4 linked regions of the Lonchura striata genome follow. The protein of the gene in region 1 interacts with the protein of each later gene in a pairwise test. Links are inferred from orthologs where the notes say so. Each region holds a gene or a part of one and is shown on either strand. Other genes may lie near its edges. The genes, in order: AGTRAP, ECPAS, RMDN2 and MCEE.

Region 1 (7,481 bases):
TGCATTTGTCAAGACACCACATTAATGTGACCCTCTCCACTCCCCAAATCACCTTGCCATAGTCTGTTTTGCATTGCAATTGCAGGAGGAGGCTTTCCACCAGCATCCAAAATACCTTCACTTTCCCCTCCAATACAGATAATGATTCTGTTTGCTGATTTCCCACTGGGATTTAAAAGGGAGTTTGTAGAGCCGGGCAACTTCTATATGTCCTTCCTCACTACTTATTCAGAAAGGCTCTGTGGCTAATATATATATGTATTTGTGCTGAGCTGGTGCCTTCACTGCTCTCAACTCCATAGCCAGGGGCAAAACTTAGAGATGCTGGTGTCAGCTGCAGTCTTTAGTTGTCTTCAGACTAAACCCCTAGAGAGGGGGAGAAGGGCAGAACTATGAGAGGGGAGCTTGTCTCCACCTCCAAGGGCCAGATAAGGACAGCAGAAGCAATTTTATTAACTCTATGGAATTAACCTATGGAATTGCTATCATCTTACACACCAAGGGTACAGTGTCCTGAAAATGCAAAGGAAAGCATTTCTGCTTTATTAGCTCACTTTTATTGCTATCAGTGTGGAGATCCAGCTGTGTATTAGGCTTTTACTCAGTCTGCACAAGGCAAACCAAAATATTTTAAAAAACAACAGCTTTTGCATAAAGCAGATAATTGCTGGGCATTGGTTGCAGTGAGCTGAAATCACCTGGAGCAGTCTTCTAGTCACAAAAATCTGTTTATCCAGTCTCCTGGGTAACCTGCTTCTCCCTGCAGCCCTTCTTTAACTTACTGCTTATCTTCCTCACCATGTTGTGTTTCTTCATTAAACCTGGGGAAGGGAAGAGAGACAGTGGTTACACAGAGAGGCAAATTACAAGGTACACCAGCACAATGTAGAAATAAAAAACAAGCAACCCCCAGATCACACAGGTGTGACAGACATACAAATGCATAATGTCAGTCACAGCTCTCATTGCTTTCATATCCATGAGATAATTCCTAAATCCCTTGAGTCCCTGACATGCAAGCCCAGGATATAATAAGCAGGGATGAATTAACTGCATGATACACTGATGAACAAAATGAAATCAAGTGCTTTTATTGTACAAGGGGAAATGCTTTGCATTGAACAGTGGACACATCAATTCAAATTATGGCTCACGCTGCATAAATGATAATGAGACTCTGTCTCAGGCTGAGTGAGAAAGCTGAAGGGAGCAAAGACGCCCACATGATGCTACATCCTATCAGTGCTTATCATTCAACTGGGACAGCAGAATTTATGTTCCTAACAAACAGCTCTCCTTTGAAAGATACCTGTCTGGGCAGAAGGGCATCCTAGTGCACTTCGCACACAGCACTGAGCCAGCAGTGTGCCTATTCAGGCTCTTTAGCTTTTCCCCCATCCCAAGTGTCACATATTTTTGTCATTTATGTTGAAATCCAGTCATTCCTTGGCATTACTGGAACCACTAGCATTGATGTTATTTGATACCACCACTTCTGTAGATAAAGACAGGACTTCCCTGCAAGACCCAGTAATGTGTCCATGCAAGACATAATAATGGAAGTGAAGGCACAGCTCATGTGTCATGAGGAAATAGGAGTTATATTTCAATCTTTCATTTGAAAGTGACATATTCAGAGATTCCTGAGGGGACTTTCACAGCCTTTTTGGGTTTTTTACTTTTGTTCTTAGCTATGCAGCCAGTTAGTTTTATCCTCTATGCTTCCTAGCATTTTCTAGGTAATTTCATTTTGGCATTTAATGCTTTGCCTTGGGAAATCTTGAAGTGTGCTGCTTGAAGCAGTCAATAGCACTCAGGACACGGTCAAGGACAGGCTGGATAGCACTACATTTGTGGCTTGTTTGAGAATGTCTGATGGTAGGTTCAGCACTGCACAATTCTCACTGCTTGAACTGGAAATGAGACTGAAGGATGACACATGCATTTCCACATCCAACTTCTGCAATGAACCTCTGACCCAGCTAATTTCTCAGAGGCCCCATCTTTTCTTTAAGAAGGAATAATGACAAGAAAGGAACTAACCTAATAAGACATCACAGCCTTACACTGCAGACAGCACACATTAGGCAAGGATAGGAGGGTTTGAGAAATGTCATCCTGACCTCTGGGTTCTGTTACTTCATTTGCTAGACTTGGGGAGAAGGCTGCTGGTATGAACTACACAGGAAATGGTAAATTACAGCTGAACTGTGTGGGGTTGAATTGGTCACTTAGCAACTTCTCTAGCTCTAAAATGAAACCAGATTTCTTTAGGAATAAGAAATGAAGAACTTGTTATTTGCACCAGGATTTTAGGCAAAGGATACAGTCATTGAGTTCTAGGGGAAAAATCCAGGGCCAAGGGAATCAACTGTGTACCTGCCAGCCATCCTAGCTACTGCCTCAACACCTAAGACTGACCTTAACTTGACTTAGCTGTTGGGTGACGTAGCTGAGCACAGTTAGCACCTCAAAATAACCTTTTTGTTGGTGTCTATCAACAGTTTCTTTGCAACTCCTTAAATTTTGGTCAGACCACTGATATATGCACAAGAACTCTTCCTGCAGAAAGCTGCTAAGTCCTTTGCACACAGCTTTCCCAGACACTGATTACAACCAAAGTATAATGTCCAACCTTGTCTCACTACATTGCATGTGCAAATAGAAGGAAGAGTTTGGCTGCCTTTTTGCAGCCAACAAACTGATCTGTGCACACTTTAGCTGGGTGTTTGCAACCAAGAAACTTATATATGCATATTTTTAACTTGATGGTGGCTTTTGAAACAAATTCACAGAATTGTTAGGGTTGTCAAGTATCCAATATTAGATATTTCATACAAGGAATGGCGCAAATTATGTTTACTACACATAAAAGAGGCATTATCAAGATAATTCTGTTATGCATTATTATAATTTGCGCTAATGAAATATTGTTGTATTGAATCAAGGGAAATATGATTTGGCACGTGTAATATTTAGTTATTACAAACTACACACACCAGCACTGTGAGCTGCCCCCCCACACATATTCGGTTACACCAGAGCCGGGTTTTGTTGGACAATGCCTCATTTACAATCTTATACATGTGGCCGGTCTGGAGATGGGCTGGAACACCTGGGAGCTGATCAATACCAAAGGACCTGGGAGCTGATCAGTCCCAAAGGACCTGGGAGCTGAATAATACCAAAGGACCTGGGAGCTGAATAATACCAAAGGACCTGGGAGCTGATCAGTCCCAAAGGACCTGGGAGCTGATCAATCCCAAAGGACCTGGGAGCTGATCATCCTGGTAACAATCCAAGATTGGGATCACTGGAGTCCTCCGGGCTGATACATCTGAACGCCAGGAAAATCAGGAAAAATCGTCCACACCTGGACCTGGATTGTTCAACCCCGGCTCGGAGAAAAGAACTTTATGAATATGTGGGACTCTGAATAGAAAGAAAAGGCTGAAATCCTGGCCTCGGGCGGAAAATTTCCTGTAAGAACTGCAGGGCCCAGGAGTGTGGTCTGTGTGTGTCCAGGGGAACCTCTGCCAGAGGCTCCTTCCTGTCATGCACCCAGCGCCGAACCCGGGCTCGGCACTGTCCTTTTCCTTGTGGCTGGCTCAGAGAGAATTCAATCCTGAATAAATATTTTATTATTTCACTTTTAATTTGGCTGGACTAATTTGCATTTATAACAGTTCATATCAAGCAAGCAGAGCACCCGGGCTGCCTGTCCTGACGGGACACGCCTAAGCAGCCGCCCCTCAGCGAGCTCCGACAAGGGCCTGTTCTGGGCCCGGGAAGAATTCGATCCTAAATAAACATTTTATTATTTCACTTTTAATTTGGCTGGACTAATTTGCGTTTATAACAGTTCATATCAAGCAGGCAGAGCACCTGTGCTGTCTGCCCTGACGGGACACGCCTAAGCAGCCGCCCCTCAGCGAGCTCCGACAAGGGCCTGTTCTGGGCCCGGGAAGAATTCGATCCTAAATAAACATTTTATTATTTCACTTTTAATTTGGCTGGACTAATTTGCGTTTATAACAGTTCACACCAGGCAGGCAGAGCACCCTGGACACGCCTAGCTCAGCGAGCTCTGCAAGGGCCCAGCACCGCCGGCAGCGCCCGACGCGGCCGGGCCGGGCGGGGCCGGGGGCGGTGTCCCGGCTCCCCCCGCCCCTGAGCCCGGCCCTGCCGCACCGAGCGGCCCCGGGGCCGCTGCCATGGAGCTGCCGGCCGTCAGCCTCAAGGTAGGGCTTGCCCTGCCCCGGGGCCGGGGAGCGGGGCCGGGGGGCTCCTGGGGCGGGTGGAGCCGCGGGCACTCCGGGCAGCCCTCCCCGTATCCTTTCCTCTCGCACGTTCTCCAGCCGAATGTCTGCTCCACGTCCTGGCTGAGGCCCTGCTCGGAGCTGCGGGGCTCTCCGAGGAGGAAAACCTGAAGTTTTCCTCCTTTTTCCTAAGGAGAAGAAACTGAAGTTTTCCTCCTTTTTCCTAAGAAGGAAAAACTGAAGTTTCTACTTTTTTTTTTTTATCACATGCGCAAAGGGTGCAGAAGTTCTGAACGCCAGGAATCCGAGTCGCGGGGAGGGTTAGGTTGGCTATCAGGAAAACCTTTTCCCCAGAGGGTGATAAGGCACTGAACAGGCTCCGCAGGGTCACAGCATCAAGCCTGCCCGAGCTCAAGGAGCATTTGGACAATGAGCTCAAGCACAGGCTGGAGTTCTTGGGGTGTCTTGTGCAGTGCAAAGAGTTGGTGATCCTGATGGGTCCCTTCCAACTCAGTGTATTTTATGATTCTTAGTTAAACCCACCAGGTGATGACTCCAAAGTTTGACCCTACTTCAGAGATATTGCTGAAGTGGCTAAGGACTGTGCAGAGACAACAGCTGGCTATTAACTAGTGTCCATGGAGGTTTCCAGCTCAGCTGACCAGAACTAAGGCAAGATAAACACTGCACTCCTCAATCCTGAGGAGACAAAGTTTTGCTTGTCAGACAAAGTATCTTAGAAAAATAAGTTCACTTACTTGGGGCTTATCATCTGAGACATAACTGCAGTTGCTTCTCTGCTGGGGAGGGCAGGCTCCACTTGTGGGCACTTCGGAAATTTCAATGAATATCTGATAACCAGGGAAAGGAGATATAAGAGACTTAACCAGTAACATAACATTTTTCACTTTTGGAAGAAGCACTTGGTGACAAGCCAGTGGATGTTAAAATCACACTTTGCTTTTGATGTCGATATTTGATTCTGATGTCTTCTGTGCTACCAGATACGTTATATTTTTCTCTTTTTTCTTTCACATTTTCAGAACTCTGAGATTTCTAGATGTTTCTGTCCTTTCCCAGCTTTGCTACTTTGTGATTTCATTTAATGCAGAATGGTTCAGGTGCTTTCTTTGGTTAAAGCTTTGCCCAGAGACTGAAAGCATCACAGATCACATCAGGGCTTTTTTTGCTGGTGATTCGTTAAGCTGTGAGCAGTGGCCTCGGACCAGGTTGCCTATGGGTTGGAAGAGAGAATAGAATTATCTCAGCTACCATTATTAATTCAGCTTTGTACAGGACAGCTTTCATGTGGCTGTATTAAAGAAAAGATTGCTGTTCATATAATGATGAATACCCCTCTTACTAGTTCACCAAGAAAAGCAACTTCCCTTGTTAGAGGCAAGTAAGCAAATGGATTTTTCAAGGCCCAGCTTGTGGATTATATTACATTCTGGAAACTAGCTGATACTTTGCTCTGACAAGTTTGGACTACTGTGTAGTTCCCAGGGCACTAGGAAGATTAAAAGATCTTGCCTTCTGCTTTGTTTTTTAACTTGGTTTGATTATTTTTTTTTTCCACGCTAAAACAACAGTGAAAACTAAGGACATTTTAATTAAAAATTTTGCCAACACGAAATACATGTTCTCCATGAGAAATGAAGATAGGGGAGCTGAAAAACACTGACTTTTCAATGAATGAGCCACAAAGACAACAAAACTAAAATGTTGCTTTTCTTCTCTTGTTCAGACAACTGTTTTCCCAGTCTCTTGCTAGATAAGTGTGAGTTTGTCCTGGGCAAACTGTTTTCAGCATTAAGAAATTCTTGGTTGTGAAGTCTGCCACTTCTGCTCTGAGCTGCAAAGACAGGAATTGGGAGTTAATAGTTGTGCCTGCACTTCATTCTGTACCTGAGTTAGGGCCTGATTCCCTGTAAAATACCACAAAGGTGGGGAAGATTCTTACTCAGAAGAGTAAGTAACACACACTGCTGCTATTCATTGGCATGATCTGCTTACAGGTTCTGTGAGATTATGAAGATGAGTCTTGTGATAGAGATAGTTCAAAGAAAGCTGCATGACTGAGCTGTGCCTGTGCCAGAATGTAGCAGTATCTTAGCCTTGGGGTCTCTCTTTAAGCTCCTTGCAGAGCTGTAAAATTAAGGTAGGCTTTGCCCTGGAGTGGGTGGGGAACATGCTCATTGAACAGGATCTACTGGCTTGGTTTTAACAGCCATGCTCAGCAAAACGGGGGAAGCAGCACAGCCATACTTTTGCCATGACAGCCATGATTATTGAAATAATCATGCAGAGCCTTGAAATACAACGTTTGATCAAGGCTGGACAATGCCCTACAATCCATGTGCCTGGAAACACGTATTTTGTGCTTAGGCATTTTTTAATGCTAAGTCACCGAGTCAAGGAATAATAGAGATGTCTGTATGCCATGTGATTAAACCTCCTACTCAAAGCAAGGCAAACTGCAAAGTTAGATCAAATAGCTCAACTCAAAAATCAGCTGAGTTTTAAAATAAGAACAGAGCCATGTCAGCCCCATTGTATAGTCTGTCCCACTGCTTAAGCACTCTCATTATTATCACTCTGTTATAATAATGAGGAGCATATTCACAGGTGGCCACTCAGATTAATATTTTGGTTTTGTGTGTTCTCAGGTGAATGCCGTAGAGTAGGCGAGCTCACTCTAAAATAGAAATTTAGATAAAACCAAGAAAATAACTTTAATTTGGAACTGTTTCATTTTTAACTTCTTCAAAATTCAGTCTTGTGCTAAGCTCTGTGCTGAAGCATGTTTAAAAGAGTTCCTGTTCCAAAGAGCTTCCCATCTAATGAGACCCTGGCAGACACTGGCTCTTTTTATGCTTGGCAATTAGTTCCATCACATGCTGGGATTTGCAAAGGAGGTAGGAATTCTCCTTAGCTCTCCCCAGTTTCCAATGGGATGCTTTTAATTACATAGCCATCCTTTTTCCCAGAGGAGATGGAGACAAAAGACCCACCTTTCTTATTTTCTGCTCTCACCACTAGTTCATCAATAACTTCAGAGTTATTTTCTCAAAAGAAGAAATGTATGTCTGTCTTATCTACAGACTTAAGTCCTTGGATAGATGGAAAAATTTTAAATTCTTCTGCTGTTTTATTAGAAGAGTGCCTGCAAATTAACTGGTCTCACATAGTAGCTTGTAGTTTTTCATTAACACCATATTT
Region 2 (7,821 bases), on another chromosome or scaffold:
AGTTCCCTCTGGCATTCTCTGGAATTTATAGATATTATGTACAGCACACCAGTTACTCCACACAGACTCCTCAGCAATGCACATTTGTGTAGCACAGTATCAAGTAAAACACACACCCTTCCTTTTATGAAAACTGACTCAAGAAACTGCTGGGGCTAGGACATGTCAAACTAGCTGTACTTTGTTTGACTGTTAACCACAAACATCTGAGGAACTAAAAGCAGCGTCTAAGTTGTCTGCAGAACAGAGCAGATCTATGCATGAAGTCAGAATTTATTTTCAGTTTCCTGAGAACTTGATAGTTTGACAGATTGGTGGAACTGTTACAAAATAAATCATTTCTACAACAGTTTCAGTAAATCAGACGAAAACCTCTGAGACCCTGCTCTATTACCTGAACATGCACAAGCATCTCTCCGCATTTTCTCCAAATGGCCCTATATCAAATAAAGAGTACAAAAAGCATTTCAATTTGACCTTTTGGATGACAGGAGTAGTTTTAGGGGCAGGTTCCTACTAAAGCAAAAAGTCTATCACGCCCTTGTGTCTCTCCATAACTAAGCAATTGAGCAATTGCTTCTGCATTATTCCACATGCAGAAGAATAAAGCTCTCATCTGCTGTGCAACTACCAAAATAGGAGTCAAATTCTTGTTCAAATGTTATTAGACTCTGGGAAAAAATATAACTAGTATGATTATAGCAGCAAACAGTGAGTCAGGATTTGCTGGTGCTATTCTTGTCTCTACCAGTAACCCCTTTTATGCCTATAACCAAAAGACTTAAGGGAGCACTTGTACAAACAGGCCACTCACCAAGCAGTCAATCTGCCTGGAAAAGGCTAGGAAAGCCTGTTGGAGGAAGGCTATATTATGGGTTTTTTTCCCATTATATTCTTTCTCTTTATAAAAAAGCTTATGTAAAAGCTTGAATAGTACATCAGAACCCATGCTGCAATTTGCAATATTCCAGGTACAGGTTCTCCATTTGAATGGATGACTACTATTACTCAAGAGTAGCTTGCTCCTCTTGCATCTAAACTCTTGTGGCTTTAGGGCCAAGTTACTAATTTTGCATTAATTTTTAAACTGCCATATCTTATGCTGCCTTCAAACAACCTGTCCTCTAAAACGAGGAGCATCATTTACACAGCATTTAGACAGAGTTTCCATGTTTGACAGGGGCTATAGATGAAAGCTTCCTACAGGCATTTACAATGCTACATGAATATAAAGCAAGGAAACCTGGTTTTCCAACCTAGAACTAATGGTAATTATTTTTGTTATTCCAGGACTAGTCATCTGTTACAGTGCACTCCGGCTGTGCTCTTCCCCATTTCCAGAGACCCCTGTGACTCTGATCAGATGAGAGAGGTAGGAGCATCAATCATCATCCTATAAAATAAAGGCTTTCTTTCCAAATATGCTGAAATGTAAGTATTTGAATGTATCAAGACAGCAAGCCCACACGGAGGCTTAGTTTCCCTCTCTCTTTCTCTACATTAAGTTACTCTTTTTTCCATTAGCTTTAATTAATTTTTTATTTAAGCATACTGTACTTTCTATTCAGTGACAGAGAGGTACCACAAAAAACCCAAATTAAACAAAACGAAATTTCCAAAAAGAGATTCCTCCTCCCACCCAAAGAAAATATTTCTAAGCAAACCAATAAAACTGTCTCATTTTTGAAGAACGTCATGGTCAAATAACCTGAGCAAAATAACGTAATTATTAATGTGACTCGTAGTCTAGGGATATGTGTCTTTCTAGTCCAGCTTAAGAGAAAGTCCTGTGTAGCAACAGGCACACGGCTGAGGACTAATTTTTTGCAAAATCAGATCTGGAGCCTGGAAAGTTAGATTACATACAGATAAAAGCCACAGAGTCACAAGGAAGATATTGGCTGGTTTCACCAAGGAGAATCACAATAGCATTGTGAATCTAACAACAGAATCTCTTGGATGACAGCAGCAGTAAGAGCTTGAACTGTCCTTACATCAATTTATCCCAGGTGTCAATGGAAAAAATATCTTGGCATTTCGGTCCTCCAGTTCTAGGATTAGTACAGGATCAAGATTTTTCTTTACTCCACCATGGGACCTTGGCTACATACGGGAGATCCCCACCATTATCATATCACTCAGCCTACTTCTAGTAACAAAGAGCAGCATTAGGATGTTGTCTACACAGAAGCTCACAATAAAAAAAAAAAAAAAAATTAAAAACCCCAAAAAACCAACAATGGAAAAATAAACAACAAATGAAGAACCAGCACATAGAAATTCTCTAGTACTGAAAGCTAACAGTACTCAAATATGCTCAAAGTATTTCTTTTGCCCTTTCTCTCTGACGACTGCCAAGTACTATTTCAGGGTAACCAGAGGCCCTCTCATTTGGCTGAGTCATATGCTATCTTGCTATTAACTCTTCACAGGTAAGAACCATCTTTACGCCAGGCCAGGAAAAACAAGGGAAGAGAAACCGCTTTTTTTGAAACTCCATAAGCTTATCCAAAGAGCAGCTGATCGGGCGCTTCCCCAGAGTCTCTGAGAAAGGGTTCTGGAGAGGACAAGAAGCCAGGCCGCGCTCCGCTATCTGGAACGCTCGGCGGCAGCGGCACCTCCGGTGCTGTGCCGGGCGCCGCAGGGGCGGCCGCGACGCGCTCCGTACCCGCGGCCCGGCGCCGCGCCCGCGGCGCGGCGAGAGCGCGCCCCGGGACCGCCAGCTGCGCTGCGTCCGCGCCGCCGCCGCGGCTCAGACACGGCGCTCGCACGACGCAGGGCCCAAGTACCGACGGGCAGAGGCGGCGCCGCTTGTGCCCGTTCAGGAGCGGTGGGCGAGGCCGCTCCCGCGGCGCCCGTGGTCCCGGCGACCCCAGGCTCCGTCCCGGCCAGGAGCCTCCGCTGCCTCCCCGCAAGGTCACGCAGCCGGCGTGAGGGGCCGGGGATGCGGGAGGTACCGCTGCTCCCGGTTTCCGCTTCCCGAAATGGCCTCCCACGGCCGGTCCGGCCCCGCTGCCGTCACCGCCCGGCCGGGCCGGGCACCGGGCCCCACCGCGGAGGAGACCCGCTGTGGGGAAAGCCCGGGCCGCCCGCCCGCCCGGCAGCCAGCCCCCGCTGCGAGTCCCTGCGCCGCGGGCACTTACTGAGCTCGTCCTGCGCGGCCGCGGCCATGTTGCCGGCTGGGGAGGGAGGGGAGGCGGCGAGAGACGCACCGCGCCTCCCGCCCCTCTCCGGCACCGGCACCGGGCCGGCGGCCGCGTCTCTCCTCCTCCTCCTCCTCCCTCTCCACCTCTTCCACCCCCTCCTCCTCTTCCTCCTCCTCCTCCTGCTCCCGGCGGCTCCCCTCGACGGTGGCAAGCTTCTGTCACCGCCAGTTTATATTTAGAGAGACCTGCCGTCCCCACCGCCCGCCCCCGTCGCGTACACGGCCCGGCCCCGCCGCCGCCCCGCCCGGCGGGCCCCGAGGAGGAGGTTTACGGGGGCAGCACTGACCGGAGTCCGCGCTGACCTCCATGGCGGCCGCGCCGGCTCGGCGCTCGGCACGGCGGCGCAGGGATGCAATGGGACGGGACGGGAGCGGCGCAGGGCGCCCCCGCGCGGCCGCGGGTGCGTTGGCAGGGGAAGGGCGGAGAGCCCCGCCCACAGCCGGGAAGGCCCCGCCCACCGAGCGGTATAACCACGCCCACCGAGCGGTATAACCACGCCCACCGAACGGCATGGCCACGCCCATCGAACGGCATGGCCACGCCCACCGAACGGCATGGCCACGCCCACCGAACGGCATGGACACGCCCACCGAGCGGCATGGCCACGCCCATCGAGCGGCATGGCCACGCCCACCGAGTGGCATGGCCACGCCCACCGAGCGGCATGGACACGCCCACCGAGCGGCATGGACACGCCCACCGAGTGGCATGGACACGCCCACCGAGTGGCATGGTCACGCCCATCGAGCGGCATGACCACGCCCACCGAGCGGCATGGACACGCCCACCGAGTGGCATGGTCACGCCCACCGAGCGATAGGACCACGCCCACCGAGCAGCATGGCCACGCCTATCGAGTGGCATGGACACGCCCACTGATCGGCATGGCCACGCCCACCGAGCGGCATGGACACGCCCACCGAGCGGCATGGACACGCCCCCCGGCTGCCGCTGCTGAGCCGCTCTTCCAGAGCCATTTCCCGAAGGGATAGAGCTGCTCCGTAGAATTCGTCCCCTGCCGTTCTGGGGTTACTCAGAGAGACAGCCACGCTGCGTCTTTTTCCCAAACTCTGCCATGCCATATGGAATCTCTGTAAGGAGCATCCCGGCAGCATGCCGGGGAGCGGACGGCGTGGCGCCCGCCCCGCGCCTCCCTCCCCGCTTCCTGCAGCCGGCACGGGGCAGCTGCTGACGGCTCCCTAAAGCTCCACGGGAGTCCCAAGGCAGACGTGAGCTCAAGCGAGAGGTGTCAAGAGGACTAGCTTGTTTCTCGAGTCAGGAAAAAAAAGGCGACAAAAGCGTCCATGTACCGGTTTTGTTCCATCTGTGCAATGTTTCTGGCTGAGCTGGAGTTCGTGTCCCCCACAATAGCCCCCATCTTGCTGCACTTTGCGTTGATAATTGGAAAGGTGCTGATAACACACCAGCTGCTGCTCAGCTTTGACTATTGCTGAGCATCAGCACTGTGTCTCCAAAATTCAAGGGGGCTGGGGGTGGGCAAGATCCTGGGAGGGGACACAACCAGGCCAGCTGACCCAAACTGACCAAAGCCTTATCCCATGGTATATGATGTCAGCTCAGATACAAAAGCAGAGGGAGGAAGGAGGAACGGGGGGGGGGGGGGGGGCATTCATTTTTTTACAGTTTTTGCATTCCAAAGCAATCTCTACGATCCTGAAGTCCCACTCCCCAGGAAATGGTCAGACATGGCTTGTGGCTGGGAAGTAACGAATAAAATTACTTCCTTCCTCTTAGCTTGTGTATGCATAAGTTTTTGCTTTTGCTTTAGTAAACTGCCTGATCTCAACCAACAAGTCGTTTTCCATCTTGTTCTGTCTCTCCCATCCAGCTGAGAAAGGGAATGGATAGAGCAGCTTGGTAGGCACTAGGCACCCACCACAATTTTTTAAGGTCATGGTCTGAGGAGTTGACTCACAGCCTCCAGTCATGAGAGACTGGGCTCTAATGAGGTGTAAAGAGGTGGACCTTTTTTTTTTTTTGAGGAAGCAGATTTGGAACCCATCCACAACTGATGTAAATCATAAGCATTTATTATTGCAGAAAGGAGACAGGTGGAGGAGGAGACCAGCCACATGGGAGGCACTCTCATTTCTAGCTATAATAGCTTTAAGAACAGCACATGCTCTGATGAGCTGACCATTTTTGTGGTATTTGCAGCATCAAGCCCATATCTACTTTCCTAAGAAATGTCAAACACTGAGGTGATGATGCTCCTGCTGGTTACACCAGAGCAGAGATGTAATCCTCCTTTCCAGGAGAAGTCTGGGTATGCAATATCACAGGTGGCAGACCTGCTGTCGAGGCCACTATTTGAGGGAGCTGTGCATACACAATCACTCAGAATCACAGAATGGGTCAGGCTGGAAGCATATCTGGTCCAACTTCCCTGCTTAAGCACGGCATCCTAGACAACATGGCACAGGATTGCATCCAGACAGTTCTTGAATCTCTCGGGTGAGGGAGACTCCACAACCTCTTTGGGCAATCTGTTCCAGTGTGCAGTCACCTGCACAGTAAAGAAATTCTTCCTCATGTTCAGGTGGAACCTCGTCACCCTCCCTTAGTATACTTCTAGCCATAGATGAGGTCACCTATCAATTATGTCTTTGGGCACCCACAGGAGGAATTTTCTCTATGATTCCGTGCCATGGAGGCAGTGTACTGGACAGTTCCCAAAGTGGGGCCAGTTAAATTATGGTGGGCCCTACAAGACAGGTGGTCAGACCCTGAGCTCTGCCAGGAGCAAGCCTAAACCAGGTACAGGCTCAGGAAGTACTTTAAAGGTTTCTTCCCTGACGAATCACAGAATCATTGGGATTGGAAGGGACCTCTGGAGATCACCTACTCCAATCCTCCTGCCAGGAGAAGGGTCACCTAAAGCATATGGCACAGGAATGTGTCCAGGTGGGTTTTGAACACCTCCAGAAGGGAGATTTTGTGATTTCCCTAAGCAGCCTGTCCCAGTGCACTGCCACTCTCAATGTAAAATTGTTCCTCGTGTCGAGGTGAGACTTCTTGTGCTTATGGCCTTCACTCCTCCTGCTACCGCTGAGAATCACTGAAAGGTCTGGCACCATCCTCTCGGCATCTGCCTTTGAGATGTTTATAAGCATTAATGAAATCCCCTCTCAGCCGTCTCTTCTGCAGACTGAACAGGCCCAGCTCCTGCAGTCTCTCCTCATGAGAAAAACGCTCCAGACCCCAAATCACCTTTGCGGCCTACTCTGGACCCCGTGTTTTTCTTGAGCTGCGGAGTCAGAGCTGCCCGCAGCAGATCAGACGCGGCCTGCCCAGGGCTGAGCGCAGGGGGTAGGATCACCTCAAAGACCCACTGGCAGCGCTCTTCCCAATGCATCCCAGGATTCCGCTGGCGCGGGCGCCACGCACGGGCGCACTGGGGGCCGGGGCCGCAGCCGGGGCCGCGGCAGCCCGTGAGGAGCCGGGCCCGGAGGAGCCGGGCCCCGGAGGAGCCGGGCCCGGGAGGCGCCGGGCCCGGAGGAGCCGGCCCGGGAGGAGCCGGGCCCGGGAGGCGCCGGGCCCGGGAGGAGCCGGGCCCGGAGGAGCCGGGCCCGGGAGGCGCCGGGCCGGGAGGCGCCGGGCCCGGGAGGAGCCGGGCCCCGGAGGAGCCGGCCCGGGAGGAGCCGGCCCGGGAGGCGCCGGCCCGGGAGGCGCCGGCCCGGGAGGCGCCGGCCCGGGAGGCGCCGGCCCGGGAGGAGCCGGCCCGGGAGGAGCCGGGCCCGGAGGAGCCGGGCCCGGGAGGAGCCGGGCCCGGGAGGAGCCGGCCCGGGAGGAGCCGGGCCCGGAGGAGCCGGGCCCGGGAGGAGCCGGCCCGGGAGGAGCCGGGCCCGGAGGAGCCGCCCCGCGCGGCCCCGCCTCCCTCCCGCGCCGGCCCCGCCGCCGGCCGCGCGCACGGCGCGGAGCGCGGCCCGGCCCCGGCGGAGCAATGGCGGCGGCGGCGCGGCGGCGTCCGGGCGGGCGCTGGGCGCTCTGCCTGTGCCTGTGTGCGGCGCTGCTGCCGCGGCCGGCGCGGGGCCTCACCGACCGCCTCTACTGCGGCCGCCGAGTCTGCTACGAGGTGCTGGGAGTCAGCCGGCAGGCCAGCAAGGCGGAGATCGCCCGCGCCTACCGGCAGCTGGCCCGGCAGTACCACCCCGACCGCTACCGCGGGGAGCCCGCGGGCAGCGAGGGCGGCGGGGCGCAGGCGGCGCACGAGAAGTTCCTGCTCATCGCCGCCGCCTACGAGACCCTCAAGGTGAGAGAGCGGGACCGCCGCCGCGGCCGGAGCCGCTCGGGTAAGCAGTCAGGGAGGGGAGGAGAAACACCCCGAAATGCCTCCTTCCGTAGCCAGCCCGAGAGTGCGGGAAGGAGGATGGAGTGCGCTTGGAAGTCCTTCTGTGTCTAGAACGGGTTGTTTTCAAATTTATTTATTTACTTATTTATTTATTTATAACCGACCGACTAGGCTTTATCTTGGAGATATGCCTTTAAAAGTAGCAGTGACTGGAGTAGCATGTGGGATCTGTAAGGGAAGGCTTCTCAGGGCAAAGCATGTGTGACTTGGCAAAGATGCAAAGATGGAACCCGGGAATGGAAG
Region 3 (7,627 bases), on another chromosome or scaffold:
TTTATAAGTAACAAAGAGCAAATTTTTTTTCTGTAGTGCACAAACAAGCACCTGAATGCACCATTGTGTGGAATGAGCCACAGAAGAGTATAAAACAATGCATATGGTGTAATGCCTACAGCATATGAAGTAGTGATGTAGAGTAACTGGAAAAAACCCAAGTGTTGCTGCTGACCCTCCTGGCCATGCACCAGTCATTAAAGTTACAGAAGACCTCGGAAAAAAAAAAAAAAAAATATATATATATATATATACATATATATATTGCAATTGTACACATTAGGATTAACAACCTATTTGCAAGAGTACGAAAAAAAACCACTATTTACTTAAATGAAAATAAATTATCTCACATTTAAAAAAGATATGAAAAACAAACACATCAAGTGCAAGGTGTTAATAGGAAAAAAGCCCACCTCTTTTCATAAGGGATTGAAAAACAGCATTGGGAAAGAACATAGCCAAATGACTAATGCTAACTGTAACCTTGAATTATTTTCCTTGCATCTGACTGTACACAAATAGTTGTCAGAGAAGGCCTCTCTTAAGGACACATTCAATGTTCTTGCACACTGTAATCACTTGTATTGGCTCACCGCATCAGCTTCTTTGTCACACAGAAGAACCTGAGCACACAAGTTTCCTTGTCTTCTTTTCAAAGAGCAACATATCACTCCTGATCAGAAAACAGCATTTTCTCAAATGCTACACAGGGAATAACCCCTGCATTGCATCTGTGGACTTAGTAATTCATAAACTGATCTGCATCTCTGAATATTTTATTTGTAACATGAAGGCCTCTGTAAACTAACCAGTGGATGAAATACTCTAAGAAACTAAAAGAACCAGGATGGTCCCACACCAGATGAAGGAGGAATGTCATTGAATACTTATGCCAATCCTGAATACCTAAAATAAAGAACTGGTTCATAATAGAACTGACAGGTCTTAAAATATGGTATCACAATATAAGTCTTGTGAACCATGTGGGCTGGGATGTAACACAAAAAGAAATTCTGCTCGCAGGAACTGAAAATGAACGTGGAAAAACTTAAATATAGCATTCCATTAATATGCAACATCTTAGCTGTCTTTAGAATATTACAGTTAGTTAAAGTATTTTTAAAGAGAAAAGGTGACATAAGATGGGCAATTTACAGACATAATGCTGCCTACACAGACGTGTAAGACACTCTGAGAAATAGCTCAAAACACTCAGTTGCTATAAACATAGTATTAGTAAATTGCATGTAAGTATCTAATCTGATTATACCAAAACAAAGTTGTAATTACAGGAGACTAATGTCAAGACAAAAATATAGTGCCTCTCCTGGACTCCTGGTACATATCATCCCCCAGCGTGTTCCTCAACTCATGAGACTAAAAGACCCCATTAACTACAAAATGTGATCAAAACTAGGAACTTTCTACCGGACTGAGTCAGTACCCTAAATTCCTCATGGTCATTTTTTGAGCCACCAGAAAGTGTATGCACATATACATAAGCATTGCCACTTCTACAGAGGTTCTGCGCAGATGTAGCTTCCACAGTATGCAATGCTTCTAGGCAGAACACTGTAATAACTCATCCGTGAGGCTGATAAAAAACAATTATCAGGAAAAGCACATGAGCATTTGTACAGTTTGAACTAACTCTGTTAAAGACACACTAGGAGAACTTTTAAAATTACACCATTATTCTGAACTTTGCCTCTCATTGCATAGCTATGTAGCAATACTGCATCAGTGTTACCAAACACACTCTCAAAAAAAAAAATCTGTATTATGCCTGGCATTAAACCAACTTCAGCCATAGTGCAGACTCAGAGATGGCCACCAAGAGTCTTCACTGATCTAAAAACCCTTAATCTGAGCATTTGTATTTACTTTTCCAGAAGTATAAAATCTGAAACAAACGTTTAAAGGGCTCCTGTTTACAGTTTCACATAGGTAATGATGCAACTTGTACTGCACGTGTACAGTAGAATATACAAGTTATTATTAACTCACCCTCCTTCACTTTCTGCCTCCTCAGAGCTGGTAGTTTCTCTTGTACTAGCAGTTGTCTCTGCTTTTCTCCGCCTTGTTGCTCTGTGTGATGGGCTAACTCTCTGAACACCACCCTTTCCTTGAAGCTCATTTCGAACAAGTTCTTCAAGTTTTGGAATAGCTTCTTTCAGACATTCCACCTCTCTCTTCAGTTCATCCACGCTTAGTAGCAGCCCATTCAATTTTTCCAGTATCTGCAGCTGCCTTCCATGTAAAACCATTACTGCTCCTTGCTCATTAGGAGCCTCATTTGGCAAGCCCACAGAATTAATTCTGTTACCTATATCCTGGAACGCACGAACACACACAGCTGCAGCAGGTTTTCGGTTCTTGTGGTACCAAACGAGCACCAGGCTTAATCCAGCAGTCCCTGCCATTATGCCCAGTATTAGTCCTTTATTTTCGAAGGGAGACATTTCTGCACACTCCTAGAATTATAAGAAAACAACAACAGTTTAAGATGCTTCCCCCTGCTCTACACAAGAGATTTACTCCACTCTGAAATCAGGAAAGCATAAGGCAGAAGAACTGCAGACACAAAGTTACACTTTTTGCAGGTTCTGCAACGCTAGGCAGCAAAAACAAGCCCAAAGTGGGTTTGGGGGTGTAAGGGGCGCTGGCACGTGGGCAGGACTGCAGCCTTCACTCTTAACCGTCCCAGCATCCAGGGATTTGTTTGTTTTAATGCGAGAAACTCATATAATCGGATTTTCCGCCACTGCAGAGGCGGAAACCCAGCTGTCAGGCCGGAGGGGCGTCACGCCGGTCCCCCAGCCCCTGCCCATCGAGAGGCTGCCAGAGCCCCGCGTTCGGCTCCGGCTCCTGCCCCAGCCCCGCAGCCGCCCCAGCCCCGGACCCGGCCCCAGCCGCCCCGGCAGCGCCGGCCCCGGGCCCAGCGCCGCCCCCGGTACGTACGTATGGCCGGGCCGCGCCGGGCCGGGGCAAGCCGGGAGCAGCAGCGCGTCCGGCCCAAGAGCCCGCAGCTCTCCCGCCGTGGCACAGGGGGCGGCGGCGGAGCCGCCCCGGAGTGGCGATACCCGGATCGAGGGGGCCGGGCCTGGGCCGCGCCGCCCGGCTGCCGCGCGCTGCCCGCCGCAGGAGGGGTCCCCGCATCGCTGGGAGTCCCGGCGGGCTGGCTGCACCTGCCACGGACCTGACTCGAAATACGCCGTTCTAGAGCAAGTGTACCTGTTCGTGTGTCTGTCCTCAGTCTGGTGGCCGCTCGATTTCACCGATATAACCTTTTGCTACTTCTAGGCCACAGAGAAATTGTGTTTCCACTGCATTGGTGGAGACCTGAAGCTGTAAAATCACGGAGAAACCCCGCCCCGTTGTCAGGAAGACGGGCAGTCCCGGCACGAAAGCTTCATTGCAATTTAAGGCATCTAAGGGCCCAAAACTGATTTCACCAGTGCATTACAGATTGCCCGAAGTCTGGAGGAACTTACCATAGAACCATATAATGGATTAGGGTGGAAGGGAACCTTAAAGGTCATCTAGTTCCAGCCCTCCTGCCATGAGCAGGGAGACCTTCCTGCTAGAGCAACTAGATCAGGTTGCTCAAAGTCCCATCCAACTTGGCCATAAACACTTTCAGGCTTGGGGCACCCTCAGCTTCCCTGGGCAATCTGTCCCAGTGCCTCACCATCCTCACAGTAAAGAATTTTATACTAATGCATAATCTAAATTTATTCTTCAATCTGAACCCACTTTCCCTTATCATGTCACTCCATGTTCTTGTAAATGGTATTGCCCCATCTTTCCTCAAAGTTCCCTTCAGGTGCTGGAAGGCCACAATTAGCTCACAACAAAGCCTTCTCTTTTCCAGGCTGAACAATCCCAGTTCTCTCAGCATTTTTTCATAGGAGAGGTGCTCCATCCCTCGGTTTAACCTGGTTTTCCTCATCTGGACTCATTCCAACAGATCAGTGTCCTGTGTTGGGGACCCCAGAGGTGGATGCAGCACTGCAGGTGGAATCTCACCAGAGCAGAGTAGAGGGGCAGAACTTGGATTTATCAGAGTGTGGGGGGTATTGCTCCTGTGCCCCATCTGAGATCACTTTTATTGGTGACTATCACAAGACTCTGCTTTGCCCTTTATGACAAAAGGATCTGGCTCCTGTTTCTGGCCTTGGATGGAAGAAGGATCACCACGGACAACCTGCTCTGACCATTCATCTTCCTGAAGGCTTGTGGAGAGCCTCTGCACAACATCCTACCAGAATTTACAGGCATAAAACTCATGTTCTTCTGTGTGAGGGCTTAAGGCAACCATCATGGAAACCACTGTGTCTGTGCAATGGAAGAAGCTTTTTAGCAGCTGAAATTGTCCTCAACCATATCAATCAGAAACAAAGAAACACAATTCTTAAAAAACATACTAATTGCCTTTAAAAAGTGAGCAGAGTGCTGTTCAAGACAAAAACAGGTACCTAAAACAGGTACCAAGAACAGAAGATTTTTCAGTCTTAGTACAAATTAGCAATTGTAAATCAGTGTAATGTCTATTTATCATCAAAGAATTGTTTAAACCAACTACAGCTCTAAACTAATTCTTCATTAAGATCCCGAGGATTAAATTACCCTTATGAGACCAAACTACAATCTGAGACAAAGGTAGAAATTTGTTAGAATGAAAAAGTGAGTACTGTTTCAGTATTTTGCAGGTTTCCCAGTTACAATATAATAATAACAAAATGTATAATCTGTTTGTAATTAGAAATTTTTAAACAAAGGATGGAAATCTCTTTAATTTTATGGAAACTTCACTAAACTCAATTATTTTAACAAATTTCACTATAAGTAATGGTTTTAAGATACACAATCTCTCAGTGTTTTAAAATTGAACAAGAAAACATGAATCTCCATATGCTGATAGTGCTTCAAGTGTTCAGGAATGGTAATCTAGATGTGTTGGAAAACCTTTAATTTTTATTTTCATATTTTTTCAGTTTATTCTGCCAAAATCTTTCTATAAGCCAATTAAAACAGGAAAGTATTTTGAAAAGAGTATTAACTGGAGGGCAAGCATAGCACAGAGCTGAAACAAAATACTATGGATGCAAAAAGCTAAGTGAGTATTTTTGAAGATTTTCCAAAGCAACTGTCTTGGGCTGCAGGCCTTAGACAAGGAGAACTGTTTTCAAAAAATAATGTCTCAGGAGAACTACCATCTACAGCTGCCTGGATATGTATCAACTGTGAAAATCAGGTCACCTGTCTGATCCCAAAAAGTTATTGATTATATGTAGAAACTTGCTGAAACACAGCAGCTTTCCAAGCTGGAGAACTAAACATCAATTTATCTAGATTTGACATAATTCAATTGGCCTAAATATGACATATGTTCTAAAAAAACTGAAATAAATGCTTTTAGAAAAGCACTATTCTTCTGCATATGAATTTTTCCTAGTTCAAAAGCAACTTTGTACCTGAAGTCCTAAAAAACAAGTCCAGACAACCATCTGTTATAAAATGGTTAGCCCCAAATATTTTTAGTGTATTTTCAGCCTTATTTCCTAAGAACACAAAGTTTATGTCCTCAGGTTGTCCGTGTGTTGTCCTTCTCACAAGCTGTACCATGACACTTTCTCCACCCAGTAGCTCCTGAACATGGAGCTTAATTTCAGCCAATTGTGACAGAATATGTCAAGATCATGGAATTGTAGAATCATAGAGTTGTTGGGGTTGGAAGGCATGTTCATGATCATCAAATTCCAACTGTCCTGTGATGGGCAGGGACGCCTTTCACTAGAACAGGTTGTTCAGGCTGCATCCAACATGGCCTTGGACACTTCCAGGGATGGGGCATCCACAGCTTCTCTGGGCAGCTTGTCCCAGTGCCTCACCACCCTCTGAGTAAAGAATTGCTTCTTAGCATCTAATCTAAATCTCTCTTCTTTAATCTAAACCTACTTGTCCTATCATTATTTGCCCAAGTAAAAAGCCACTTTCCCTCTTTTTTTGTAGACTTTTTGAAGTATTGAAAGGCCACTCCAAGTAGTTTCAAGGAGGCTAGCACCCCGGCCCCAGCCAGATGCAAAGGAATGAACTTAGCACACCAATGCTGCAACACTGACACACCTACATAGGGCACCAGCCTTCTTACAGCACTATTTTTGTAAAACCAGGACAGGCAGTTTACTGGTCTTTTGGGAAAATTTGAACTTAGACAACATTTTTGTGCCATATTAGAAAAGTTAGCACATTATTGAGTGATTGTGTTCAATGGATCAGAGAGCCATTACATAATGTGTACATAACTTACACAATGTAAGTAATTGATGCATGCTGTTTCCAAACAAAGTGAGCATAATCTACTGGTGGTTTCACTTCTGTATGGAAGGCATTTGTGTTTTACAATTTTCATAAATTTCTTTAGCTGTAATTCTTCTTTGCATTTTCTTTCATAATAGGCTGTTCTTTCTGAAATGTCCCTCCCTCCCCCACCCCCCAGAGATTAATCTACTGCTTGTAACAGATACAGAAGCCTTTAATGAGCTAGTAGCAGTTCGTTCTTATTACTTCAGCAGTTGTCTTGTAGGTGTAAAGTCAAATATTGTTAATATGTCACCAAACATTGTAAAAGCTTAAATACCTTTGACCAGACTTTCAACCAACCTGCCAGAAATCCTTTCTGGATGCCAGAACAGTCAGAAATCACTGTTCTGTCAAGTTTGGTTAAATTCTTCTGAATTTTTTGCTACAAAAATAAAGTTATATCTTACCTCAAAGGGAAGCACTCACTGTCAGACTTTCTGCTGCTTTTGGTCTGAACAGTTGTCCAGTGCCCCTAATGAAAAATTAATAAATTGAAGTTAAAAGGAGATGGGTAAGAGTACACTGATCTTTTCTGTTTTCTTGAAATAAAGATGTACTGCTTAGCACAGTTCCCTGGGGAGATGAGGCTGACTGCCTTTATGTCTCAATGCATGCAAATATAACCATAACTCTCCCTCCTCCCCAGTGTTTTTGAATCTTTGGCCAGCCTCAGTCAAATTCAACAGAGAAACTCTAACAAATTTTGTTGAGTTAGTTGATCTTTTAAAGAAGAAATCTCTGAATTAGAGTCACTGCATTGGGGAAGATTACTTATCCTTTGATGTAAAACTAAGAATCCACACAGGAGAAAAGCATTTTGCAAGGACCGGAAAAGCTAAAGCAGAGCTCACATTTTATCAGATGTGAACAAACAAAACTGCAAGTTATAACCTGATAGGAAACCTGAATTCATCAGTTCTACTGCACTCACAATCATCTGTTTATTTATTTACTGATAGGATTGATAGGATCCAGTGCTGCAATTTCAGTTAAGTACAAATGGTCACTGACGGCACAGCTTTTCAAACAGCAAAAAAAAAAAAAAGTACGTACTGTTCCTGCTTCTTTGTGTCTTCAGGAATCTCAAGGACATTATCAAAATATATTTATACAAGCTCTGTTAATTGTTTTAGGCCAAGGTAAATGATTCAGTTTCCTTGATGTAAGACATGAGAGTTGGCAGCCCAAAAGAGTTTGCATATGTTGTGTTGACAACTATAGGAAAAAATAAGCAAGGCTACATCCGATGTAGTTGGAC
Region 4 (8,285 bases), on another chromosome or scaffold:
CTGGCACATGCTGTGAGCAAAGCCCTGTCCCTCTCCTTACCCATTCGGACTGCGTGGTCAAAAAGCACCGTTTCTTCCAAAAGGCTGTTCTCAGGGCGTTTCTGTCCAGTCACTTCTCCTTTCAGCTGCCAAGGTTTCTCCTCTAACAATGCTTCTTCCAAGCTTTTTATTTTTTTGCTCATCTGGAAAACACAATTTCCTACAAAGTTTAAAACAGAGCTCACTCGTAAACTTGCAGCAAGAAATTAATATTTATTTCAGGTACATGAGGGAATATATGATTGCAGATGTATCTATGTAGATAAACCACATGTCTTCCTTAAATTTTAAATACCTTCTTTTTATTTGCTGGATTCTGAACAAATGAAACAACCAGTAAAACAAAAGTTATTTGCCACTGTTTTGAAGTATTAGCCAAATAAAATATGAACAAAACTCAAAGAAAACCAAACCAAAATTACCTTTTCCTGTCTCTTCTCAAATGATGACTTTATTTCACTGGGACTGATGCCCTTCTCTAATTGCCCTTCAGCTACATCTTCTGTTTCACTGTCATCTGGCAAATTGAAAGTTACTTTTTTAGAAGCTTCTTTATTTCTCATGTGCTCCACCATTTCATCCATATCCTCAAACCTGTAACAACAACATTTAATATAAAAGTTGAGAAGCCTTTTTAATTTTTCACATTAAAGTATTTCAGCCTTTAGATGTTTACTTGCTACAAGTAACTTACAGTTTACAACAGGTTTCAGGGATCCCCCTAAAGGCAGAGGACACTAGGGAAACTTCTGGATAATAAAAATAACTTTGAACAACTCTTAAATGCTTTATTCAAATAAAGTTCAAGGGACAATATTTTAAAAAATTAAGTAAGCTGACAACATAAACCATGAACATACAACAGTTAACTGAGAATGGCACAGTGTGACCAGAGTGAGGGTGGAATTCTCAGTATTTTCTGCTTTACTTCTGTGTAAAATTATGAGAACATTTTACCTGCATTTTACTTACTCAGACATACTTCCTTCATTTTGCTCTTCCATGGCACTGTCTGCTTCCTCTTCCTGATCCTCTTCAGCATCATTAGCTACTAAATCATCATCACCATCATCATCATCAACTGGATCAAAGAAATCTTTGTATGTCATATCTCTTGAACTTTTTATTGGCTAAAAAGGTGAGAGGGAAAAAAAACCCAAACAACAAACCACAGCTGTTAAGACTGACAGAAATCAAAGAGCATCTTGTCTTTTAAAGTCTTTAGTGCCTGGGGAACAGCACTTCTTGTGCAACAGTAATTTAGGGTAGTGCAACAATAATTCAGGGTAGTGATGCCTTAACCTGTGGTAGAGGATCATAGTAAAACTGATTTCTTTTCCTGGTATTTTCAGTTCTCTACCACTTACACATACAGAAGTCAAGGAACTGTACATTTTGCCAAATACTTGCTAGAATGCACACCGATTCCCTGGGTCTATTTCTTACTTGCTTGTGAGAATGTCTGGTAATACTGAATAATAATATACTTATTTTAGAATCAATTATTCATCAATTTAAGTTGTATCACAGTCACAAGGCATGTCCCTGGAAAAAACCCTTTGCTCTGCACCAGCCACCTCAGTGATCCCTAATTGCCAGATGCTGATCTTTTCATTTGCTGGGTCCCCTATTCTGCAATTCTTCAAGGCCTCTGATTTCCTGTGGGTATTATCTCTTCCTTTATTCATGTAAAAGCCCAAGGCCCATGTAAGGAGAGTCTGGAATAGCAGGATCCTATGTCCTTCTACACCAGGAAATTTTCTTACCAGATATTAATTGTTAAAGTAAAGCTTCAGAAGTAATCATTAATTACATAAACAAATGTAACTTGGCAGTTTCTACAGAGTTAAACATTTTATGGTCATCCTAACAGATACCAGATTTTGATTTGAAGGAAAAAACTCACTTTGACTTTAGCTTCTTCTAAGTCTTCATCATCATCTGAGAAAATGTCTTCAAAATAATTAATGTCATCTTCTTCTTCTTCTTTTTCCTTGTCTTCCTTCTCTGCATGTTCTAAAAAAGCTTCCATCTCAGCTAGCTTGAAAAACTTGTCATCCACTACAGATTTTCTTCCCTTCTTTCTCAGTGTGGTTTCCTTGGCTGTTTTAGCTTGTTGCTCCAGTGCTTCAATATCAAAGTCAATATCAGAATCCTCATCACTGTATTTCTGCATTACACTTTCTCTGAGTTTACTTTGCTTTTCTTTAGCTTTAGTTTTATCTTTTTCTTTATCTTTTGTATACACATTCATCTGTTCAGTTTCTGCTTCCATTATGCTGTCTTCCAACTCCTTGTCACTGCTGGTCTCTGCATCAGAGCCATCCTCTTCCTGGTCTGAGAGAAGGCAAAGATCTTCATCCTCGGCATCCCTTGCAATGGATTTCTTGAAGAAATCGAGAACTGCATTGTTCTGGAGCTCTAGTTGCTGCCAAATCTGTTCTTCATCAAACTTTTCTATCACCAGCTCTTTTAGAGGACCCCCACGAACTATGTTACTTCCTTTATTCAAATCGTAGAGAGTCTTTGTCATCGCTCTGAAGTCGGCAGCCAGCCCATCCTGCACACTGAGAGCAGAAAAATAAAAAAGCTTAACACTTTCCACTAAGTCAATCACACGGCTGCTCTTGTTGTACCTGCTTTGGTTCTCTGGTGCTGCAGAACAGCACCTTTCAATAGCTACTGCTGCGGCTTAACTTTCCATACATCGCTTGGAGTACTGCTACTACGCAGTCACAGAAAAAAAAATCACAAAATTATTAATCCTTTCAGTTTCATTACACTTCGTGTAGGAAGTAGCAGCTGGACAGAAAATCCCAGCTTTCTACAGCTGCATCTTACAATATGTTGATCTTATTTAAGCACTCCAGACATTTTGGGCAAGTAAACAGTACAGCACTAAACACCTCAATCGTCCAAGAGCCAGAACCCAGGTTTGAAAGATGTAACTGCGCTTCTCCACCGCCCCACTCCTCAACTGTTACACCTGGCTGGGTGTAAAAGGTTTTCCTCTAGGGCTACCAATGCCTCCCCCCGCCGCCCCGCGGTACCTGAGGAAGCACTCGGGGCGCGCCGCCGCCGCTCCCGCCACCCTGAGGCACGTCTGGATGCCCTGGAGCCCCGGGAGCCGCGGCACCGCCGCCATCGCCCCGCGCGCACGTGGGGCCCGCCCCGCCTCCGCCGCGCCCCGCGCTCAGGCCCGGCCGGCTCCGCGGCCGCCGCCAGGGTTCCGCGCACAGCGGAACTCTGCCCCGCCCCGCTTCCGAGCCGTGCCATCCCCGCCCCCTGAACCAGGCATCCCCGCCCCCTGGCCCAGCCCTCCGTTAGAAGCGCCTCGTTCTCCCAGAACCCCCAGCACAGTATGGCAGTCGTGCGTGGTGGCTGCTGGTTGCCGCCCTGGGAAGGGCGCGGTGTTGCTGCAGACTGGGATTTGCATCAGCACTGGGAAACCTGCTCTAAATATAGTGAAGGTACATTCATCTCACTTCACGGTTTTGAATCTCTGACCTAGATGCAAGGGCTGTTTTAGAACTGCACATTTCCAGCTGATTCTGCCGGTAAAACACCTGATCTTACCTGGTGTCTACAAGTTCAGGCTAACGATGTGCACACACACACACACCTTTCACCATCCACACAGCACTGCCCAGTGCTCTGCAAGTCCCCTCTTACATCATGTAGTTTCTTAAGGTTTATTTTGTAAAGTAAAATTAAGCCCTACACCCACAGACCCTTGTGTTTCCAGCCACCCACACAGCCTTCTGCAACTTGATCCAAAACTGTGACTACTAACCTTTTAACTTCAATACTTCTCCTGCCTCTGCCGCTTTCATGTTTCTTTCCTACCAACATATAAAGCCTTTTCAGTGCAAAGAATGCCCTGCAATGTCACAAATTAAGATTTGAAGTGGCACAAGCTGTTTATCTACTTAGGCTGTATCTCAGCTAGTTGCAGTGTGCTATGCCTGACACAGCAAGACTGCAGCATCAGCAGACAGCCTGCTCACTGTCCTGAGTCTCTCTGGCACAATGCTTCACGGCATCCCCGTCTGTATCAGGAAGAGCGCGGCCAGCAGGACCAGGGAAGTGATTGTTCCCCTGTATTCTGCACTGGTAAGGCCACCCGTGAGTTCTGGACCTCTCAGCTCAGGAAGGACATTGTGAGATGCTGGAGCAAGTCCAGAGAATGGCAACAAAGCTGGAAAAGTCAGATGAGGAGTGGCTGAGGGAGCTGGGGGGCCTGAGCCTGGAGAAAAGGAGGCTTGGGGTGACCTTATTGCCCCCTATAACTTCCTACACCAGGAGGGTCCAGCCAGACACCCTCCTGGTGTCACTTGTCCTGGCAACAGGACAAGAGGACATGGTCTCAAGCTGCACCAGGGGACAGGTTGGACATCAGAAGAAATTTTTTTTCTCAGAAGGGGTGATTAGATACTTGAATGCACTGCCTAGGGAGGTGGTGGAGTTACCTAGGGAGGTCTGGATGTGGCACTTAGAGCTCTGGTTTAGATGACATGTTCAGTAATAGGTTGGACTCGATGATCTCGGTCGTCTTGTCCAACCTAACTGATTCTGTGGGATTTGCTCAGAAAACTTCCTCGGCAAATGCCGCTTCCTACCGCAGCGCTCTTCGGCACGCTGTCTCCGAGGCCCGGGCAGCGCCGGCCCGGCCCCCGCGAGGCTCCAATGGCGCGGCGCGGCGGGCCCGGCCCCCGGCGAGGCTCGGCGCTGCCGCGCGGAGGGCGCCGGGGGCGGCGCCGCCGCGGCCGAGCGGGCGGAGATGGCGGCGGCGCTGCGGCGCGGAGCGGCCGGTAACGCGGGGCGGCGAGCGGGGCGGCGGGAAGGAGGGGCGGCGGGCGCGGGGCTCGGGGTGCGCTCCGGCCTGGCGGATCTCCCCGGGAGAGCTCCGCAGGCCGAACGAAGCTGCCGCTTCTGCAATAAAAACAAGTTCTCCCGATCCAGCTGACGGGCGCATTAACCACTGACATTAGCTGCGTAGGGTAAACTTAGAGAGCAAACGCCAAGCCTAAAGTGCAAGGAGGAACTTGTCTTTTTGATGTGTGGTTTGGAGGTAAAATTCAAAATAATTTGCCGTTTATGGTAATAACCTGTACTGTTCACTCTGGTAGGGTAGGTTTAACTCACAATACCTAAAACATTTTACTTGGTAGCCCCAGACCAGGAGAAAAGTGAATGAGAGGCTCAATGCTGTCAGTGATCGATCAGTAGGATACTGGGAATGAAAACACCTTCGTATGATTGCACTTTGAAGGAAGGAACAAAAGCCACAGCACACTGAGACTCAGTTCCCTTGAGCTGTGGAGCCCATGTAATTCCCAAAAGCCCCATCCAGCACAGCAGAGCAGTACTGTGAGCCCAGTTAGTCTCCAGAGTTCCCAGGATGCTCACACCACCTTGAAATTGCTGGAATTTAAGAATGACCATACTATGCCCTTTTCTCCATTTGGCCCAGAGAGTGAACACACAGCCCCTATGTGCCAGATTGGTAACAGCATCCTCTCCATGCTTTGGGAGTTTGTCACCACCTGAAAAGAGTGACGATAAAGCAGTGCCCATGACAAGGTTCTTGCTGCAACCCACTGTTGTAAAACCTTCCCATAGAGAACGTGACTGAATTCAGTTTGGTTTGGCTTGTATTTGATTCCTTAGTTTCCTTGATTAGGTCAATGAGCACTAATCCACATCAGAAGCAAAAAACGAGGCTACGAATAAACATTTGAACTTGTTACTTTATAATCTGCTCGGTTGAAGAATGTAGCCCTTACTTGGTACAACTGTATATTTAAACTCTGATGTGCATACTACAAGTAAATGAGTCAATCATCAATAGAATGATCCCCAAATAGATAAATTTAAAAATATTCTTCAAATGAAGCTGAAGAAAGTTATATACTATAGAACTAGTTTTGTGATGCATATATAAATACAAGTGTTTCTTTCCTGGAAACGTGGAGATGATGGGGTTTCAATCTGAAGTTTGCTGAAAAGCTTTCTTTTTCACTGCAGGGCCATTTTTGATTATTGGGTTAGAAGAAGATTAGAATTTTAAGTAATCTATATAGTTACTGATCTAGATAATGTAAGAAAAACAAACGCTTTTTGTTTAACCTCAGTCAATTAAATTATGGATTTAAAATTAACACTCTATGCATCTGACTAGAGCTAGGACTTCATAAAATAAGCGCTTATATGAGTGAGTATTTAAGTATCTTTGACTTTACAAGAATCCTAGGAATATACTTCACTTTTTCAGTCTATTGTCTTCCCAGGAAACAGCACAAGAAATCAAATATTTCTGGGGCAGAACCCATAAGAAAGAGCATTTTCTATTATTTTTTCTAGTGCTTCACAAATAGCTGAGTAACAAACAGTCAGTGTCTTTGTCTATTTACTTGAAATAGAAAAAAAAACAAATTAAATTACAATAACTGTGTGGTCATATGTGCCCTGTGTAAAGTGCAACAAGAACTACAGATGTCAGATGTAAAATAATGGAAAAATCCTTGCCTTCCCATTAGTAAAGACTGCTTGAAAAAATATCTACATTAGTAGTATTTCTGTTGAACTGCAGTCTGTTAATATTTGGAAGAAAAAATAAAACAGTAAAAGGCTCTGGAACACATAATAAATTATATAGTAAGGGATCCTTCTCTTTCAAAGGATTTTTCTTATTTAGAGAATACTGCCTTCCTCCAAGTGGAAAAATATCTCTTGCTTCAGCAAGAATGTCTTAAGAAATTACAGTACAAAATGGAGCTACTTCAGTAGAAGCTTAGGTGGGCAGGAAAGACTGTATAGCAGATATTGGGGGGTTGTTAGTTTTGTAACACATTTATTTACTCTGGTTAATTGTCAAGCCCTATACTAGTTAATTAGCCATGCCTTTAATCATGCACCTTATGCATTTGAGGCACTGCACAGTGCTGCTCCCTCACAGAATAACATGATTCACCCTGATTCAGCTGCATTGACATGGCAAGTGTTTCCACAAAATAGTTTATGCACAGACATTTGAAAAACAATTTTTTTTTCATGTGGAAATTTCAAAGGGATTTTTTTTAACATGTAAGAAGTTGAAAAGCAGTTGCTGTCCTATACCAGTATGATAGCCTAAAGGTACTAAGTGAAAGAATTGTCCAGAGCTTCTGGCTGTGATGAAGGAGATGATAGGATGGACTGTGTGAAAACCTGGCAAGAAATACTGCAGGGCAGTTACTTGCAGCACTGGAAAAGTTTCTGTAAATACTTAATGTAGGATGTTGATTTATTATCACAAAAAATTGTGAATAGACTTATTTTTGTGATAGAGTCCTCGCTAATATGCACATTGCATGTTGGAATTTTAAGTGTCAAATACATGCAAAGATTTCTTCCTCCATCCCAGCACCATGCTCAGAAAGACTTAGGTTTAAGGATTTATCAGTGTTTGAAGAAAAATTAACTGATAGCCGTAAATCTTGAATTCCTGTGGAATGGTAGCTCTCAGTTCCATACTGTGAAGCAAAGCTGATTTAATTAATTACAGCTATTACTGACCTTACAGAGCACCAAGAGCCCAGACAGGCTATCTATCCTCAGTGTGTTGCAATGCATCCAGAATCTCAGTGCATCACTGGCACAATCTCTTAGCGAAATAGCACATTTGTGACTTTAACGGAAAGAACACCTCAAAGACTCCCAAAAGGATAAGATGCCTCTAGCTTGGCCTTGAGGCATTGGGAGCTCTGACTTGGCCTAAAGCAAACTGGCATGGAATTATAATGTAGCTTTTATGAATATGTCTTTTAATCTAATTCTAATTTTGGTTCTAGAAACAGCTGATACTATAAAAATTTCTCCCCACCCCCAGTCCCTCTAGATTTTGGTACTGACAGATTGATTTTTAAGGTAATTAATTTGCAAGTACCCTCATTTTTTATCTTTATTTTTTGTGACCTTTTTGTTTGTTTCCTATAATTTTGAGATGCATAGGCATATCCGTATTTCTTTCTTCATTTCTTAAGAAGCTCTGAAAATTTCAAAAGTCACTTTTAAACACATTATGCAGTTGGCCTTTACAATTGGTCCTGTTTTCCTCTTTTCAACAGGTATATGTAAAGATTTACAGCAAATTTGAGTCAGCTTTGGGTTTTTATTTATTACTCTTTTAATAGGTCTGAATATTTACTTAGTCTGAAAACAAAGTAACTGTTTCCTTGCTCTCAGCCTACCCTGAGCATTGCACA

Evidence for each region.
Region 2: the proteins of AGTRAP (region 1) and ECPAS interact in binary tests that used the Homo sapiens proteins (3 or more experiments, as listed by UniProt). The two-hybrid records come from large-scale screens. The link is inferred for Lonchura striata from reciprocal best matches to the Homo sapiens genes AGTRAP and ECPAS.
Region 3: the proteins of AGTRAP (region 1) and RMDN2 interact in binary tests that used the Homo sapiens proteins (3 or more experiments, as listed by UniProt). The two-hybrid records come from large-scale screens. The link is inferred for Lonchura striata from reciprocal best matches to the Homo sapiens genes AGTRAP and RMDN2.
Region 4: the proteins of AGTRAP (region 1) and MCEE interact in binary tests that used the Homo sapiens proteins (3 or more experiments, as listed by UniProt). The two-hybrid records come from large-scale screens. The link is inferred for Lonchura striata from reciprocal best matches to the Homo sapiens genes AGTRAP and MCEE.

What each region holds. Positions count from the first base shown.
Region 1 is NC_134626.1:5,566,674-5,574,154, reverse strand, and holds the start of AGTRAP (type-1 angiotensin II receptor-associated protein), read left to right. Parts: upstream 1-4,167; 5' UTR 4,168-4,214; coding exon 4,215-4,241; intron 4,242-7,481. UniProt on the Homo sapiens protein: Appears to be a negative regulator of type-1 angiotensin II receptor-mediated signaling by regulating receptor internalization as well as mechanism of receptor desensitization such as phosphorylation.
Region 2 is NC_134642.1:61,498,409-61,506,229, forward strand, and holds the start of ECPAS (proteasome adapter and scaffold protein ECM29), read right to left. Parts: upstream 3,436-7,821; 5' UTR 3,172-3,435; coding exon 3,144-3,171; intron 1-3,143. Other genes in the region: DNAJC25 (dnaJ homolog subfamily C member 25), read left to right, coding at 7,171-7,479. UniProt on the Homo sapiens protein: Adapter/scaffolding protein that binds to the 26S proteasome, motor proteins and other compartment specific proteins. May couple the proteasome to different compartments including endosome, endoplasmic reticulum and centrosome.
Region 3 is NC_134605.1:33,517,535-33,525,161, reverse strand, and holds the start of RMDN2 (regulator of microtubule dynamics protein 2), read right to left. Parts: upstream 3,348-7,627; 5' UTR 3,238-3,347; intron 3,086-3,237; exon of another isoform or gene 2,965-3,085; intron 2,478-2,964; 5' UTR 2,466-2,477; coding exon 2,011-2,465; intron 1-2,010.
Region 4 is NC_134613.1:9,525,987-9,534,271, forward strand, and holds the start of MCEE (methylmalonyl-CoA epimerase, mitochondrial), read left to right. Parts: upstream 1-4,787; 5' UTR 4,788-4,819; coding exon 4,820-4,850; intron 4,851-8,285. Other genes in the region: MPHOSPH10 (U3 small nucleolar ribonucleoprotein MPP10), read right to left, coding at 41-182, 462-633, 1,012-1,169, 1,946-2,606, 3,090-3,184. UniProt on the Homo sapiens protein: Methylmalonyl-CoA epimerase involved in propionyl-CoA metabolism.